Linked DNA regions of Saccharomyces cerevisiae S288C. The protein of the gene in region 3 interacts with the protein of the main gene of each other region in a biochemical or structural test. Each region holds a gene or a part of one and is shown on either strand. Other genes may lie near its edges. The genes, in order: MHF1, MTE1, MPH1 and MHF2.

What was found.
Region 1: the proteins of MPH1 (region 3) and MHF1 form a complex in vitro, tested with the Saccharomyces cerevisiae proteins (2 studies listed by BioGRID).
Region 2: the proteins of MPH1 (region 3) and MTE1 form a complex in vitro, tested with the Saccharomyces cerevisiae proteins (one study listed by BioGRID).
Region 4: the proteins of MPH1 (region 3) and MHF2 form a complex in vitro, tested with the Saccharomyces cerevisiae proteins (2 studies listed by BioGRID).

The regions. Positions count from the first base shown.
Region 1 is NC_001147.6:157,344-159,945, forward strand, and holds MHF1 (Mhf1p), read left to right. Parts: upstream 1-1,829; coding exon 1,830-2,102; downstream 2,103-2,602. Other genes in the region: DUF1 (Duf1p), read right to left, coding at 1-1,294; alcohol dehydrogenase ADH1, read right to left, coding at 2,205-2,602. UniProt on the Saccharomyces cerevisiae protein: dsDNA-binding component of a FANCM-MHF complex involved in DNA damage repair and genome maintenance. FANCM-MHF promotes gene conversion at blocked replication forks, probably by reversal of the stalled fork.
Region 2 is NC_001139.9:576,063-580,791, forward strand, and holds MTE1 (Mte1p), read left to right. Parts: upstream 1-3,413; coding exon 3,414-4,229; downstream 4,230-4,729. Other genes in the region: mitogen-activated serine/threonine-protein kinase KSS1, read left to right, coding at 1-442; BUD9 (Bud9p), read left to right, coding at 1,425-3,068; sedoheptulose-7-phosphate:D-glyceraldehyde-3-phosphate transaldolase NQM1, read right to left, coding at 4,373-4,729.
Region 3 is NC_001141.2:355,991-362,952, forward strand, and holds MPH1 (3'-5' DNA helicase), read right to left. Parts: upstream 4,407-6,962; coding exon 1,425-4,406; downstream 1-1,424. Other genes in the region: SGN1 (Sgn1p), read right to left, coding at 153-905; AIM21 (Aim21p), read left to right, coding at 4,895-6,934. UniProt on the Saccharomyces cerevisiae protein: ATP-dependent DNA helicase involved in DNA damage repair by homologous recombination and in genome maintenance. Capable of unwinding D-loops. Plays a role in limiting crossover recombinants during mitotic DNA double-strand break (DSB) repair.
Region 4 is NC_001136.10:167,967-171,949, reverse strand, and holds MHF2 (Mhf2p), read left to right. Parts: upstream 1-2,341; coding exon 2,342-2,584; downstream 2,585-3,983. Other genes in the region: DExD/H-box ATP-dependent RNA helicase DHH1, read left to right, coding at 20-1,540; ENT1 (epsin), read right to left, coding at 2,872-3,983. UniProt on the Saccharomyces cerevisiae protein: DNA-binding component of a FANCM-MHF complex involved in DNA damage repair and genome maintenance. FANCM-MHF promotes gene conversion at blocked replication forks, probably by reversal of the stalled fork.

The DNA.
Region 1 (2,602 bases), on a different chromosome or scaffold from region 3:
GTGCGAACCCACCTTCGTTGACACTGAAATGGTTATTAGTTAAATCGAGCACGTTTAGATTTGAGTCAGTACAAAAAGAAAACAACAATTTTTCATTAGGTAAAAGGGCAATATCAAGGATACCACCATATTTTTTTACTTTCGCATCTGTAGTTGATATATTTTGCTCTTCGTGTTCATGGTGATGATGATGATGGTGGTGATGATCAGGCTTGAAAATTCTTGTAAGTTTAGCATCTTCATAACTGGATAAGTTTGCTCTCATAACATTGCCCTGAGAGTCACCAAAATACAACTTATCAAGGCTCGTTCCTTGGACACACCATATGGAAGAATCCCAGGACCAAGATCCAATTTTTTTGGGAAGCTGAAGGGCACCAGTAGTCTGATCATGCCTACAATTCAAGTCCCATACATTTATTACACCATCTGAGCTGGTACTGATTAGTCGTGTGGAGTCATCAAGAGTTCTTACTACTTTTATATTTGTTCTGTGGGCGTTTTGAATTCTTATCACCTCCTTACGATATTTACACGAATAAAAAATCAAATCACCATTACAGTCTCCGGCAACAAAATCAAAGGGACGAGACGTTTGATTGTCATCAAAACTGTATTTTGGGATGATGGGACTCATGGAGTATATTGAGCCTGTGTCGTTTGATTGTGCATTATCAAATGTGTGTAGTAGCGTAGCCATTTTTTCTGGCCCGCTGCTCAGGCACCAAAGTTTGATTTTTCTATCTAGACCACCTGTCACAAAAAGAAAGTTGTTCTGTTCATCAACAACAATGCCATTATTTATTCCATCGTGTACATTATCAGGACCACCCTCTTGTTCTTCCAATTCATAGTCATTTGACATTTCATAATGTATGGGCACTATGCACTTGATATAATCGTCGTGGTCACCGATTATTTTCTTATCCCAGGTAGTTAACTGCGCATTCACACTAATTAATACTATCGAAAAATCGTGACTTACTGATATGAATGTGTCCCCTGCAGATGGGTCTGAATTTTTCATATTAACATGTATTAGATCGCTTGCCCAATCGCTATGAACTTGCATTCTTATCGCATCGTTTTTTATGGTAGTTGCAGCAGTCTCAGGCTCGTTCGAGAGCTGTGTGTTCTTGTGCAAAATTATGGAACCATCCCTTCCTGAAGTAAGAAAATAGTTTTTACCAGGTATATCCGGGTACAGAATCTTTGTTATCGGTAAGATGTGCGCATCTTGGGAAGTGCAGTAATCTGGGGAAATTAGGCCATAACTCACTGTCAACTGATTCATTATTACCTTTCTATTTTCTCCGGCTTTTTATTGGCTTGCTCTTCTAAAGTCAGAAAAGCGTAGATTTGCTAGAATGTATCGTTTCCTCGTTAGGAATGGCTTGAACTAATTCCTGTATCTATGCAATTGCAATCCAACTACACTTATACGACGTCAAAAGGAAGGGGCGGAGCGTTCTAATTGTAGTTGCAAAAAGCGATGTAGTCGTTCTTCAAGTAGTAATTAATACCAGGATAGGACACGGTGTTATGGTGCTGGTAGTTACTTGTTATAATGTTATTATTGGGCAAAAAGAGAGTTCACTGTTTAACAATAGCAATGGGGTTTTTTTCAGTATACATTTGAACTGCAATGGAATTTGGGCGGAGGGAGCAGTAAAGGGGCGATCAGAGTTGAAAAAAAAATGCTGCCGTAAAAAAAGCATGCACGTATACACTTGAGTAAATATATTTATGTATTCATATCTCAAGATAAGATCATGATACATAAAAGCGATATAACGTCTTGAAGCTCAGGTAAGGGGCTAGTAGATGCAATGAATGACGATGAAGATAGAGCCCAACTGAAGGCTAGGCTGTGGATCCGTGTGGAAGAACGATTACAACAGGTGTTGTCCTCTGAGGACATAAAATACACACCGAGATTCATCAACTCATTGCTGGAGTTAGCATATCTACAATTGGGTGAAATGGGGAGCGATTTGCAGGCATTTGCTCGGCATGCCGGTAGAGGTGTGGTCAATAAGAGCGACCTCATGCTATACCTGAGAAAGCAACCTGACCTACAGGAAAGAGTTACTCAAGAATAAGAATTTTCGTTTTAAAACCTAAGAGTCACTTTAAAATTTGTATACACTTATTTTTTTTATAACTTATTTAATAATAAAAATCATAAATCATAAGAAATTCGCTTATTTAGAAGTGTCAACAACGTATCTACCAACGATTTGACCCTTTTCCATCTTTTCGTAAATTTCTGGCAAGGTAGACAAGCCGACAACCTTGATTGGAGACTTGACCAAACCTCTGGCGAAGAAGTCCAAAGCTTCTCTGGTGTCAGCTCTGTTACCGACGTAAGAACCAACAATAGAGATGGACTTGACGACTTGGTTGAAGACATCAGAACAACACTTGGCACCAGCTGGCATACCGACCAAAACGGTGGTACCGTTAGCTCTAACGTATCTGGTAGAAGCTTCAATAGCGGCTTCGGAAACGGAAACGTTGATGACACCGTGAGCACCACCGTCAGTGGCCTTTAGAACAGCACCGACAATGTCCTTTTCCTTAGTGAAGTCAATGAAGACTT
Region 2 (4,729 bases), on a different chromosome or scaffold from region 3:
GAAGCCTTTGTTCCCAGGCAGAGACTATCATCATCAATTATGGCTAATTCTAGAAGTCTTGGGAACTCCATCTTTCGAAGACTTTAATCAGATCAAATCCAAGAGGGCTAAAGAGTATATAGCAAACTTACCTATGAGGCCACCCTTGCCATGGGAGACCGTCTGGTCAAAGACCGATCTGAATCCAGATATGATAGATTTACTAGACAAAATGCTTCAATTCAATCCTGACAAAAGAATAAGCGCAGCAGAAGCTTTAAGACACCCTTACCTGGCAATGTACCATGACCCAAGTGATGAGCCGGAATATCCTCCACTTAATTTGGATGATGAATTTTGGAAACTGGATAACAAGATAATGCGTCCGGAAGAGGAGGAAGAAGTGCCCATAGAAATGCTCAAAGACATGCTTTACGATGAACTAATGAAGACCATGGAATAGTATTCACAAGAACATTTCTGCCATACTTCTAAAATTTCCCTATATTCAGCTTAGCAGTGACACGTTGTGGTCTGTAGGTCAATATGTAAGTAAGAAACTTCAACTCACATATGCACGATGCATGCCAATGGAAAAATGCAAGGAACGAAATGGCGCCACGGCAACAAGTTTTTTTTTTTCGCCAGCAGAAGTACACGAAATGCGGCTTCATGAGCCTCTTCACTGCTTTGCCTAAACGGGAAATGCAGAGAAAAACCAGCCATCGCGTGTGCTTGGAGAGCTGACGCGACTGTAATCAAAGAGGCGATATCAACACCTTTTATCCAGCACTATTCAACAGTGAATGGGCTCCCAAGTAAGTCTTGGCATTGTGCTTTCTATTCTTAAGTATTAAGTAGAAGTTTTGTTTACTGGGTTTGTTTATTCCTGGCTAGATGTTCGCATTCGTTTTCTAGTTGACCATATTTACCAAATATTCACAACTAATACCCAGCCAAGGTAGTCTAAAAGCTAATTTCTCTAAAAGGGAGAAAGTTGGTGATTTTTTATCTCGCATTATTATATATGCAAGAATAGTTAAGGTATAGTTATAAAGTTTTATCTTAATTGCCACATACGTACATTGACACGTAGAAGGACTCCATTATTTTTTTCATTCTAGCATACTATTATTCCTTGTAACGTCCCAGAGTATTCCATTTAATTGTCCTCCATTTCTTAACGGTGACGAAGGATCACCATACAACAACTACTAAAGATTATAGTACACTCTCACCTTGCAACTATTTATCTGACATTTGCCTTACTTTTATCTCCAGCTTCCCCTCGATTTTATTTTTCAATTTGATTTCTAAAGCTTTTTGCTTAGGCATACCAAACCATCCACTCATTTAACACCTTATTTTTTTTTTCGAAGACAGCATCCAACTTTATACGTTCACTACCTTTTTTTTTACAACAATTTCATTCTTCATCCTATGAAATGACGAAAATAACCAGAGATGTTTCGATAACGACAGAAAATTCAAAATCCACATCTGGATCGGCAACGGCTTCATCCGCATCTTTACCTGAGAACGACCACCCAATATTCCATCAACCGCGAGCAAGAATAAGATCTGGTTCGCTGTTCATCGAAGGATCTGATTCATTTCCATCATCAGAAGTGAAGTCATACAATGTTTATATTGATGATAGCAAGTATAGTGAAATCCTCAAAGGAGATACAAATTCAAGTAGTACTGATGGTAAACAAGTCTTTGAAGATGCTAGAGATGACAATTTCCATCAGGAATCACATAGAGATCTAGAGGATTCAATTTTAGATTTAGTACGACGAGATCCAGAAGTAGCAGCATTCCCTTTACCTCCGCCAAATTCAAATGAGAGGAACAGAAATTCCTCAAACGGGTCTTCCGCTGAAACTAACCTAAATGGACACAGCAGCAGCGGTACCATCTCTACTTCGGTGCTGTTGAATATGGGTTCGGCAGAAAAGCACGCTGGGACGACCAGAGGAGATCATATGGAATCATCTTCAATGAAATCCTTCGAGAAACTGGGAACCAGACCTTCTTCTTTATTCTATCCACCACCCGAAGGAACTGCGCCGTACCAGGGACCAAGGGCTACCGTCTCCGGAAATAAGTCTACAAGGCAAACACAAGGTACATACTCATTTCCTTCTATGCGGTATGGTGTAGATCTTGTTTCTCCTGTGGAAGGGGCTGTTGATGTAGCAAAAAGCAGAGTTCCTAACAGCACGCTAAATGGTACTTTTCCCGATAAAGCGTTTATCCCACATGAATTTCAAATTCCTAAAAAGGCCTGGAACAGAATACCAGCGAATAAGTCCACTAGCCTCAAAACCCCAAGAAACCATTCCCTATTAATTGACATATTAAAGCCTTTTGAAGCAGCTGACCTTGCTAATGACCAGCGAAGTTCTTCCGCTGTTTTAAAAAATACAGTGCATTCTAATGGGCAGTATAATCCAACTAATGAAACCTCTGGAACTCGAATGCAAGATCAAAGGCAGAAGAATACCAACGAAATTGATTTAGAGAAAATTCCTAATCCTCAAGTCCCTCTTGGTATCGCAATGGACACCATGCGTAGTCCAAACCAACTACACGAAAAGGAATACGAAAGTAATATAGAAGCTGGTTTAGCTTCTGGGGTCGGAAAAGGTGACAATAGTATTAAGCAACATCAATATAAAAAAATTCCTCAAGAAATTGATCGAGATCAGCAATTAAGTTTTCAAATGGAAACAATGCCCATTCAAAGAATAGATTCCTCCTCCATACGTTCATTTGATTCCCGAATATATGGCTTCTCCGAGATTTATAGTATTCCAAGGGTTATAACTACACTGTGCATCTGCCTTTTTGTTCCGCCCTTATTCTTTTTCTTTTCAATCAATGGAAATAATGGCGTTTCAAATTATAGATTAATGAGAATGATAATGAATTATGAACATAGAATCGGCCTCCTCAAAGGGTTTGAATGGGACATTGACGTACAATGGTTCAGGACATTGTGCTTTGTATTAGGATGTATAGAGATGTTAGCTATCTTTGCTAGCATAGGAATAGGATTTGGTGTGGGAATAATAAGAGAGTAACTCCATGCTGGACTTACTCGTCGAAGATTTCCTGCTACTCTCTATATAATTAGACACCCATGTTATAGATTTCAGAAAACAATGTAATAATATATGGTAGCCTCCTGAAACTACCAAGGGAAAAATCTCAACACCAAGAGCTCATATTCGTTGGAATAGCGATAATATCTCTTTACCTCAATCTTATATGCATGTTATTTGCTCTTATAATTGGTCTCTATTTAGGGAAAAAAGTCGGTTTGAGAGCTTCTCGCGATGTGAAATCTCAATTTGAACTGCACGCCAAAGCTAGCCCATTTCACGAACACCAGAAAGAAGAAATCCCCAAGGATCGCATGACAGAGTATGCTCTCTCATATCGTTGAGTATGAATGCCAATACACTGATCAGCTTTACAAGAAACGTAAAATCTGGCACGATGGTAGACTGAAATACTTTCAGTTAAACAACAGATTCATGCTTTATACGGAAAAGGATAACGTTTTGTTAGCTAGTGAATTTAAAATAAATTCAAAAGAGCTGAAAGCAATTCTAAATCCAGAAGGTTTTGATATTGAAGAACATAGGATTTTTAGTCAGTTTTTGGTGATTATTTCAAATATTATTGAGGAGTACGATAGAGATATTCAAGTGGCAGCAACGCATGTTAGGGCATATCCTTCAAATTTGTCGGTGCAAAAACAACGCCCTCTTATCTCAGACAATGCACCAAGTTTGAATCATATCTCAACTGCGAGAGAAGTTCATTCGAACATAAAAGTCACAACTCCCAATCGCAAGCAGACAGAGGACAATGCCACCAAGGGAGGATTCAACATCAGCAAACTTACTCTGAAGGTCAATAAGCCTTTCAAGAAGCCCAAGAGGATATTAAGTACTAATGTGGTAAATGAATCAAATAGACCGAGCATAAGGAGCCAAAAGATTCAGGAAGTGACACCACAACTACACGAAACAAACACAAGCACTAAAGTGCAGACAGCCGGAAAAGTTGCGTTGAATAATGATAATATTGCGCAAGGTAATTACGCCACGATTACCGAAGAAGCTAAAGTCAGAGACGGTTCCGACAGAAAGAAAGATATGGCGAACCTATCCAAAAGTGGTAAAAGGAGAGTGGGCGGGATACGAAGAATTGTTCACGAACCCCTCGGAATTTGATTATACGTCAGAATTTTAATGAATATATAAGTCTGTACACTATGCTATGCACATATACTCAAACAAATTCAATACTAAGTACCGAAAAGGAAAGTGGTATATATATATTTATATATATAAGTAGGTACCTCTACTCTTAATGATCACATTTTTTCTTCAACCAGTTTGTACAGTGCTTCAATGTCTGCGGAGAATTTTCTGATACCATCTGATAGTTTTTCTGTAGCCATTTGATCTTCGTTTAAAACATATCTGAAATGAGGCTCGTCGTTGATAAAAGAGACTTTTTCGACGCCTTCTTCCTTAGCACTCTCAGAATTCAATTTGTTTTCAATAGGATCTGTTGATTCATATAACTGTTCTAGAAGGTTCAGTGGGAGAGTCATATTATCAATACCGGCTAACGCCTTCAATTCATCTAAATTCCTGAAAGAAGCCGCCATTACCTCAGTTGCATAACCATGCCTCTTATAGTAACTGTATATCTTCTTAACAGAAAG
Region 3 (6,962 bases):
GATTGTAGTTGTGGCATTTTATATTTGCTTTTGCATTTACCCTATTCTTGAAGGTTTGGATAGACAAGCGAGATAACACCAGTTGTCCTTCAACTTATTCAAAGCAGCAGCTCACTTAATTATTATTAAGTATACACATGAAAGCCTTGTGTTTATTTCGAATCTTTTTCTTGGGTAGAACTTTTAACGTTGTCAGACGGCATGACAACAGGTTTTTGGGAAGTAGATCTAATATTTTTTGTAGAGTCTTTGGCACTGTTGAAGTGTTTTTTTTGGAAGGTTCTATTCTTGTTATTGTAAGGACTCCTATAATAATTGTTCTTATTATATCCGAAATTTTGATTTGGAGACTGATTTGGAGGGTACGGTGGGTAATAAGGGAAGGTATCGGGATTGGGGTAGGCCATTAAGGGATAATTCCATTGCCATTGTTGGAAATACTGGTTTTGCGAGTTGTAATGCCTATTAAATCCTGGAATGTTAGTTCTTTTTCTGGAGACAGCAATTTTTTTGCCTTTAAGTTCTCCTCCATTTAATTGCAGGGCTTTTTCTCTGTATGCCGGACTTTCAAATTCAATATAGCCGTAGCCTTTTGGTGTTCCCGTATTCCTATCATAAAGAAGTGTTATTCTTTTTATCTGGCCACAGTCTTTGAAATGATCTTCTATTTGCTCTGGGGTGACATCCGGAGTGATGTTACCGACAAAGATAGAACGCGAGTCAGCTTCAAGTTGATGAGCGTGTTTTTCCTCCTTGCTTAGCTTTTGCGACACCTGTGGAGTGCCCTCGATAGATAGTTTACCCACAAGTTCATCCAGCTCGAGCTCTTGCTTGTCGTTCTTTTTATTGTTCGAAATTTCAGTCTTTAAGGTTGCCTTAGCATCCACTTTCTCTTCCTGGGACATAACAGCAATTGCAAATGATGACACTATGTGACAGCAGATATATGTTTATGTTAATAGGCCTGGTTGGAGAGCGAAAGTTGAGATTACTTACTTAATCAAAATTAAATTTGAAATTTGCTGCATTTTAAGGTTACTTTTCGGAGTGTAGGAAATTGTTGCGGTTTTTTTTCACCTAACGAATGATTGATAATCTTTTTCATATCCTCCAAGAAACAAGCTGTTTATTATGGTGATTGCCACAAATTGAAGCGCTATGCTTAGTGCTTCATGACAGAAAGGTTTTGCATTGGTAGGCGTGGAAGATTACAGATTGTACTCGTCGTTGGCTCAATTTTTATATTTTGTTGCTTCAAAAACAGTGCCGTATCCTTAATGAATGAAAAATTCTAAAGAAAATAAGTTGATACTAAAAATATAATGTCCTTGAAGTATTTATGCGATATATAGAAAAATCTATAAATACTTAAATATTACAGCAGCGTTATTTTTGTATAGACGCCGACGTATAAGAGTCTCCTATCAAAAATCAGAATCTGAGCCCAGTATGTCATCTAATTCTGCGTTCGATAAGGTAAAAGATTGGGATGAATCATGGTTGACACTGTTGTTATCGACTTGACTTTTATCGTTAACTTTTACAAATTTTTTTTCGTCTCGTAACATGCCTCTCGCCAAACATTTAGTATAGTTCATATCAATTGTCCTCTTCTTATTATCATTACTCTCGTCGTTAAATAACGTAATGATTTTTGAAACTTTGTGACAATGCGGAACTTTTACCCCTTTGGTGTATTGTACAAAATTGGGCTCCACATCGAAGGAAACACCTTCTGGGATATAGCGGTTTCTGAAAAAATTCCAATCGTCCAAACTCAATACCATGTTATTCTTGTCAACAGTACAGCTCTTTTCTTTTTCAAGGTTGTGTTGATTTCCTCGGATGTCTTTCACATTTTTCTCGATTTTAGTTGGAAGACCACAATCATTCACAAATAAAGCCATATTAGGGCGTTCAAAATTATGAAGTGGCTTGAGTGTGGTAAGACTTTCGCCAGTGCGAATAATGGCAGTTTCCAAATCTTTTTGGCATCCATTCTGCCCTTCCGCAATGAAAACATTATTATCATCACTGACTTCTTCATCTTCAGTTTCTAATGAGGAGGAAGCTTCCTCGGTTGAATCATTCTCCAGATTATCCAAAGCTTTAAAAATCTTCCGCTTCTTACTTGGGTTTTCATTACTCGTTACTAGTTGTTTCCCGCCACTTTCATTCACCAAGAACTTATTAATTAAAGTGCTTGCACTAACAATACTGGTCTCAACATTATCAGGCATAAAGAACTTCTTCGGTTTTTTATTTTCCTGAACTCTCTTCTTCTTTGTTATGGCTTTTTTTGGCTTCACCTTTTTGCCCATCATACACTGAGTCGCATAACGAATAACTTCGTCAACATCTTCCATTTCATTAATTATTTCGTTTTCATCATTAATCGTGATCAATGTCTCGTGACATTCCGGAATAATGTCTTCAGGGATTATCCGATCTGATTTTTTATAGTCAATGCATTGCTTGGATATAAGCGCTTGCAGGGTTGAATAGTCTTCCATAGCACGCTCGAATTTGTATGATTCATTACTGCTAAACAGTAGTACTATCTTACCATCTCGTTTTCTGCCTGTTCTACCCATACGCTGAATATTTTTGATTGGACTACTTGTAGTATCATAACAGATTATTAAATCAACTTCTCCGATATCCAAACCTTCTTCTCCAATTGATGTACAAACGAGAACATTATATTCACCCTTTTTGAAATTATGGATAACCTCTTTTTGCATTTTTTGGTTCATTCCGCTAATCTGAGCCTCTTCAGAGCTCCCCGTTCGTCTGGCACTTCTTTCAAGTTTATCATTCGCCGCTCTCTTAGTTCGTTCAGCTTCCAAAAATTTCTCTTGCTCTTGCCTATGCAATCTCTCTACCTTCTTCCTTCCCTTTGGCGCATGTTTTCTTGTGTATTTGACCTCATCAAAACCTTCTTTTGCACGAGCTTGTCCAATAAAAATATGAGGCCTGATTTGATCGTCAGCTACCGAGTCTATGAACTTCACAATTTCAAGTGCGCTTTCTCTTAATTCTGTAAAAATAATAACCCTCGAGTCGGAACCCCTTTTCTGAAAAAAGTCCATTAGTTCATCTCTAACACATTGTAACTTCCCATGACCGACAAACTTTGGATCACTTAAATAATTTTCGCATTGATTTTTGATGTTTTTCAAAATCGGATGGTAATAAAACTCAGCTGCAATTTTATTAGTAGATTTTTTAAGATTATATTTCGTAGTGAATTCTGTACATTTATTCTGGAAGTAATTGAAAAATGTCCTTATTCCATAAATTTTTAATCTCTTTAGCATTTGACCCACATTGTTCAATAACTGTAAAATAAAGAAGTTCCTCCACTTAATTCCTTCAGGTATAGTAGGGTTAGCAATAATTTTTTGGCTTTGTTGCATGGCTTTGAAGGCGTTTATTTGTGAAGGGTCACATTCCTCATATATACCGAGTTCAATTGCCTGTTGAAGCACTGGTTTGACGGCCATACCTAATTGTTCGATTATGTCTTCAATTTCCAACAAAAGGGGCACTTCAATTTTTTCCTTTTTTCTTTTCTTCATATATTTCACGATATCCATGCTTTCTTCAGTCCTAATTTCAATCTTGGAAATATCTAAGTTATTAACCACTTCTTGGACACCTTCCAGGTCAGAGGCTGGTGTAGCGGTCAATGCTAATAATCTGTATGATGAATTGAACCTATCTATGAATTTTACCACATTTGTATACGCAGAGGAGCCAGTAGCTCTGTGAGCTTCATCGATGACAAGACATACAATATCCTTAGGATCCAATACACCCCTCTTCAAGTCATTCTCCACTACTTGCGGTGTGGCAAAGAAAACTCTCTTATTGGCCCAAATTTCTTCTCTATTTTTCCTGCTTTTATCGAGTAATATAGCAGTTTGATCCGAAGGTATTCCTGTTATACCTAAGCATGCCTTAATTTGCTGGGCTACCAAAGGTCTTGTTGGAGCAGTAAAGATTATTTTGGCTTTTTTGGTCCAACGAAAATAATTTAACATTACTGTACTGGCAATGAACGTTTTACCCATACCCGTTGGGATGGCGCATAACGTATTTTGAAACAGTGATTTGTGAACAATTGTATACTGATAATCCCTTACCTCGTAATTTGTAGGGTACACGTAGAACGACAAAGCATCGTAATCAAGCTCATGATGAGTGGGTCCAAAACTGACATCTCTTTGAATTTCTTCGTACACAGTTTTCTGCCCAGGTAAAACGTTATCATGAAGGTCTTTTTGAACTGGTACAGCACGTCTCGTTATAGTTTCCTTCACAGATTTATTGATAGCCTTTTCATACAGTTTATCCAGCTCGTCATCTTCGAAATCACTAAAGTAATCATCTGCACTAGCCATCAGAGAGAAAAAAGGACACTAAAATAAAACAGAACCGGAATGTGTTGAATAAAACTGAAGTGAGCTACTATATCTTGAATCACAATATCTTAGCTCCGTGATAGAGCATAGGGCACCTCTATTGATCTCTTCGTGATGCCCGGTTATATACACACGTAACCCCGTAAAAGCCGTTACCCGGTTTATGTCTTTCTGTGAGCACAGTAAGCTAGGAAGGTCGATGGAGAAGAAGACTCCTGTCTCATATGGAACAACCTTGCAAATTGAGTGCAATTATCCCCTTTGGAGTTTGAATTTTGTGTTAGTACATTCTCCTTTTTTAACTTGTCTTTTCTACCACATGCACAATGAAAGCAATCTTGTTTTACCAGGCGCGAAGCAAAAGAAAAGGAGAAATATTGAGTATATTTTAATTTAAGCTTTCTGATTTAGAAAGTATCATGTTTTGTTGGTGATCTAACAGGAAATCTATTTTGACCGATTATACAATGCCATCGGAAGTTACGCCAAAAGTACCTGAGAGGCCCTCAAGGAGGAAGACATCTGAGCTGTTTCCGTTATCCGGCTCTGAATCAGGAGATATTAAAGCTAATAGCGAGCCACCAACACCAGCAGGAACGCCCAATGTACCAACACGTAGACCCATACTTAAAGCAAAGACGATGACTTCGTTTGAGAGTGGTATGGATCAAGAGAGTTTGCCCAAGGTACCATTGCAGAGGCCAGTTAGACGCTCCACTACTGAAGAACTAAATAATGTAATGAATAACACCAGTAAGGAGTTAGAGGAGATTGAAAGTTTGATTTCAAAGCACAATATACACAATGTTTCCAGGAAAAAAAGTCCAACTTCTGTGGAAGAGGGAAAGGTGGCCGCCATTCATCAAAACGGGCAAAGAAGTGCATCAGATAACAAAACTTCTACAAATCCCTCCCCACTCGAAAAAAATGAGCACGAGGGTGCTGAGGGCAATGAGTCTGCTATTTCACCTTCTAATTTAGTTAACAAGTCTAATAATGAAGTGACAGAGCATAGTGACTCCGAAGACCTTACTGAAAAGCAAAAGGTACATGCTGCCCTAGATAATGAGGCAGGGGATAGAAGCCATTTTGAAGAAAAGCTCATTCCTGGAGATATGAAAGTACAGGTAGATGTTAGTAAGGACGTAGAAGAAGGCAGCCTCAATGCTCTGCCTCCATCTGGAATCACAGAATCAGACGACAAAGCTGAAAAGTTCACTAAACATCCTGAATCTAGTTTAGAAGAGCTACAGAAGCATCAAGAACAACAGGAAGAAAAAATTTTCCAAAATCCAACCGATGAAGAAAGTACTACCTCTTTGAATGAGAAACAAGAAGGCAAGGACAACATGGAAGTGAATTCTCAGCCGCAAGGACCTTCTGATACTGAAACAGTTATAGCAGCAACTAGCTCAAACGTTCCTTCACAAATTGCAAGTGAAGAGGAAAATGACGTTCCAGTGATTCCAAGGAGTAGGCCTAAGAAGGATTTTGAAGCACACGTACAAAAAGAGGAGTTGCCTAACACACAAGAGAAGCGAGTATCAGAAGAGTGTGATTCGACCCTAATTAGTACCGAAGAGGAAAGTAAAATCCCAAAAATTCCCTCTGAAAGACCAAAGAGACGTGCCCCACCTCCGGTTCCCAAAAAACCTTCTTCAAGAATTGCGGCCTTTCAAGAAATGTTACAAAAACAACAGCAACAAGATCTGCATAATAATGGTAATTCTTCAGCTACTACCGCTTCAGCAGATATTGCTAAAAAACACACAGATTCTTCTATTACTAGCGATACCACGAAGGCAGATTTTACGAGCAAATTGAATGGACTGTTTGCGCTACCTGGTATGGTGAACCCTGGACAGCTTCCACCTTCCTTGGAGAAGAAGTTGTCCTCCCCGGATACTGAATCTAAGCTAGGACCCCAGGACCAATCACAGGCAAAAACGGGACCTCTGGGCGGAACTAGAAGAGGTAGAGGACCTCGTGGGCGTAAATTACCTTCTAAAGTAGCTAGCGTAGAGAAGATTGAAGAAGATGACAACACTAATAAAATAGAAATATTTAACAATTGGAATGTTTCCTCTTCCTTCTCTAAGGAAAAAGTCTTAATAGATACTACTCCTGGTGAGCAAGCAGAAAGGGCCTTGGATGAAAAGTCAAAGAGCATTCCCGAGGAACAACGAGAACAATCTCCAAATAAGATGGAGGCTGCTCTTTGTCCTTTTGAGCTGGACGAAAAGGAAAAGTTACCTGCTAATGCTGAGTCGGATCCTCTTTCTCAGTTGCCACAGACGAACGCCGTAGGTAATAGAAAAGCCATAAGTGAGGAATCTCTGTCCCCATCGGAGGCCATCGCCAACAGAGATCAAAACGATACGACAGAAATACAGGAACAGCAGATGGAGGACCAAATGGAGGTTGATATGGAAAGAGAACTCTCAGGTGGCTACGAAGACGTTGATTCTGCCTTACATTCAGAAGAAGCGTCTTTTCACTCCCTTTAGAATCTTATAAATAATATGTATGAATAAA
Region 4 (3,983 bases), on a different chromosome or scaffold from region 3:
AAGAAAGAAAATAGTAGTAATGGGTTCCATCAATAATAACTTCAACACTAATAATAACAGTAATACGGATCTCGATCGGGACTGGAAAACTGCATTGAATATTCCCAAGAAGGATACCAGACCACAGACAGATGATGTCTTAAATACAAAGGGTAATACTTTTGAAGATTTTTATTTGAAAAGAGAGCTGTTAATGGGTATTTTTGAAGCCGGTTTTGAAAAACCATCCCCTATTCAAGAAGAGGCTATTCCGGTAGCAATAACTGGTAGAGACATATTGGCCAGAGCAAAGAATGGTACAGGTAAGACAGCCGCATTTGTTATTCCTACGTTAGAGAAAGTCAAACCAAAGTTGAATAAAATTCAGGCTTTGATCATGGTTCCCACAAGAGAGTTAGCTCTGCAAACTTCCCAAGTCGTCCGTACATTGGGAAAACACTGTGGTATTTCATGTATGGTGACCACTGGTGGTACCAATTTGAGAGACGATATTCTAAGATTAAATGAAACAGTCCATATTTTGGTTGGTACTCCTGGTAGAGTGTTGGATTTAGCTTCGAGAAAAGTAGCAGATCTGTCTGATTGTTCATTATTCATCATGGACGAAGCCGATAAAATGTTATCTCGTGACTTCAAGACAATAATTGAACAAATCTTATCCTTCTTACCTCCAACTCACCAATCTTTATTATTTAGCGCTACTTTCCCACTAACGGTTAAGGAATTCATGGTTAAACATCTGCATAAGCCTTATGAAATTAATTTGATGGAAGAATTGACTCTAAAGGGTATTACTCAATACTACGCCTTTGTTGAAGAAAGACAAAAGCTACATTGTTTAAATACTTTATTCTCTAAGCTTCAAATTAATCAAGCCATTATTTTTTGTAATTCTACTAACCGTGTCGAATTACTAGCCAAGAAAATCACTGATTTAGGCTATTCCTGTTATTACTCTCATGCAAGAATGAAGCAACAAGAAAGAAATAAAGTTTTCCACGAATTTCGTCAAGGTAAGGTTCGTACATTGGTCTGCTCCGATTTATTGACCCGTGGTATCGATATTCAAGCCGTTAATGTCGTTATCAATTTCGATTTCCCCAAAACGGCAGAAACATATTTACATCGTATTGGTAGATCCGGTAGGTTTGGCCACTTGGGTTTAGCAATCAATTTGATTAACTGGAATGATCGGTTTAACCTTTATAAAATCGAACAAGAACTGGGCACTGAAATTGCGGCTATTCCGGCCACTATCGATAAGTCATTGTATGTGGCTGAAAATGACGAAACGGTACCTGTCCCATTCCCGATAGAGCAACAGAGCTATCATCAACAAGCGATACCTCAGCAACAATTACCATCTCAGCAACAATTTGCTATTCCTCCGCAGCAACATCATCCACAATTCATGGTTCCTCCTTCGCATCAGCAACAACAGGCGTATCCTCCACCGCAAATGCCATCGCAGCAGGGGTATCCTCCACAGCAGGAACATTTCATGGCGATGCCACCTGGTCAGTCACAACCCCAGTATTAAAGAATATCTAAGAAAAAATAACTACTGTGGTGAGATACGCTTTTTTTGTGATCTAATCGTCGATTATTTTTATCTTTTTTCAAATCTCCATTGTGAATTACATTACTTTGTAACCATACTTTTACTATTGATTTTGAACAAGAATCAGTCGTAATTTAATTTTTGTCTCTGCTTTTTTATTTTTTTATCCGTTTTCTCTAGTTTCTGTGCTGATTTTTTTATCCTCATTTGCGCACCGTTTTTATTACTATCACTTTGTTATTTCTTTTTGTTTCTCTAAAATTATCTCAAACCACTTCATTCTTTTACCAGTCATTGTTGTAACCAATACTACCGTCCATATCAAGAGCTCAAGTGCACTTGCCCAGTTTCATCGACACTTTCGCTTTTAGCTAACTTTTATTGTTATAATTTCCACAATAAACTATTCATTTCAACTGACAAGATGAAACTTTCTTTGAATATTCTTTCTTTTTTTGAGTTTTTTTTTTTTTAAAAGCTTTTTTTTTTTTTTTTTTATAGAGAGTAATCTCAAGGAAAGAATATTAATACTGTGTATATATATATATATATATACATATATATATAAAACTGTTTAGATAAATTAACCAACCAAAAAGATACATGTATTTTTATTATTTTTACCTATTATTTTTTACTTTGCTGCATCTTCATGTTTCCGGGAGACCAGAATTATCTTTCGGGCCAAAATATCAAAAATCAATCATACATAAAAGCGTGTTAGAATTTACATTATTGCACTTAGAAAGGACATGAGTACAGAGCACAGTAATTGTGGTGATGTTATCTAAAGAAGCGTTAATAAAAATCCTCAGCCAAAATGAAGGTGGTAATGATATGAAAATTGCCGATGAAGTAGTACCAATGATACAGAAATATTTGGATATATTCATTGATGAGGCGGTGCTGCGGTCCTTGCAATCTCACAAGGACATTAACGGAGAACGTGGCGATAAAAGTCCCTTAGAGTTATCGCATCAAGATTTAGAGCGTATCGTAGGGCTTCTTCTGATGGATATGTAAAAGTATTCAACTTACATTACATCCATGTAAAGACATAAGACATTCCTGGTTGTCTGATAAATTTAAAGCACTATATTTTCTTTCAGTCGTCCTGAACTACGTTAGTTTACTAAAGTAGTTTTTGGAGCGATCGTGCGCTCACATATACAAATATACAGTTCATTTTATACTAAACGCTTGCATCAAAACGCGCTGTGAAATGATTAAATTACTTAGTCCATATATATTATGCGATGCGAGAAAATGCTCATCTGATTAGAAATGCGGACTGGAATGACAGAATCACTTCATAAATCAATTAGAGTATATCCCCGGTTATTTGAGCCATTATTTTGAGACTGCTGTTGAGACTGGTTACCAAAGCCATAGCCTGTTTGTGTTGGTACGACGCTAGTGCTTGGTAAACCTGTATACTGACTGTTCAAAAACGGATTGTGGTTTGGATCATCCGATACTTGCCTATATCCTGTTCCTTGAGAATTGATGAATGTTCCTGTCTTCGTATGTTGGGCAGGAATACGAGCCTCCCCTACATTTCCGAATGTATCAATACCTGTTCCTGTGGCTAGTAGCTCGTTTAGTTTACTATACTTGTCTGTCATTGATTGATTGCCTGTCCTGTTTTGAATCAATGGCTCTTGTTGTTTTTGTTGTTGCAGTTGCTGTGGAGAAGAAGCTGCTACTAGTTGGTTCCGTTTTGGTGAACTTGAGCTCTGTTCTGATTTGGCAAATGGATTGTTGGACATTGCCTGTTGCTGCTGTTGCATAGAAGCTAAGTACTGTTGTTCCTGTAGTTGTTGTTGTTGTTGAAACTGTGCTAGTTCTTCGGGTGTTATAGGATTCCCGAATACATCGTAGTACATTGGTTGTTGTTGCAACTGTTGTTGTTGCTGTTGTTGCTGTTGTTGCAATTGAAATTGTGCGTATTCCTCAGGAGTGATTGGGTTACCAAAAATATCATAATACATAGGTTGTTGCAATTGTTGTTGGCCTTGCTGTTGTTGCATTCTTTGTAAATCTTGCAATCTTTTTAGCTCCTCTTCTTCTTTGCTCAACTGCAAAGCTGTTTCATAATCCTCGTCCTGTTTTCTTCTTCTTTCGTCTTCTTCCGCCGTCAACCTGCTAGCACTAATGGCTCTTTGCAAATCATCGTCATTTTCATCACTGCGCCCAGTTCCCCTTCTTCTTCTTCCTTTCCTGTTTCTTCCCTTGATATTCATGTTCCTTTCCTCGTTCAGTCTTTCGTCATCAGATAGTAATGCAGTCAATTCTTTTGCTTTGACCCTAACGATTTGACCTTGATCTATGCCCTCATCGTCCTCGTGCCTGAACTCCTTCAATGTCTTGATGATGTATAAATTTTCTCTACACCAAAGAACACAATTCTCACTACCAAACC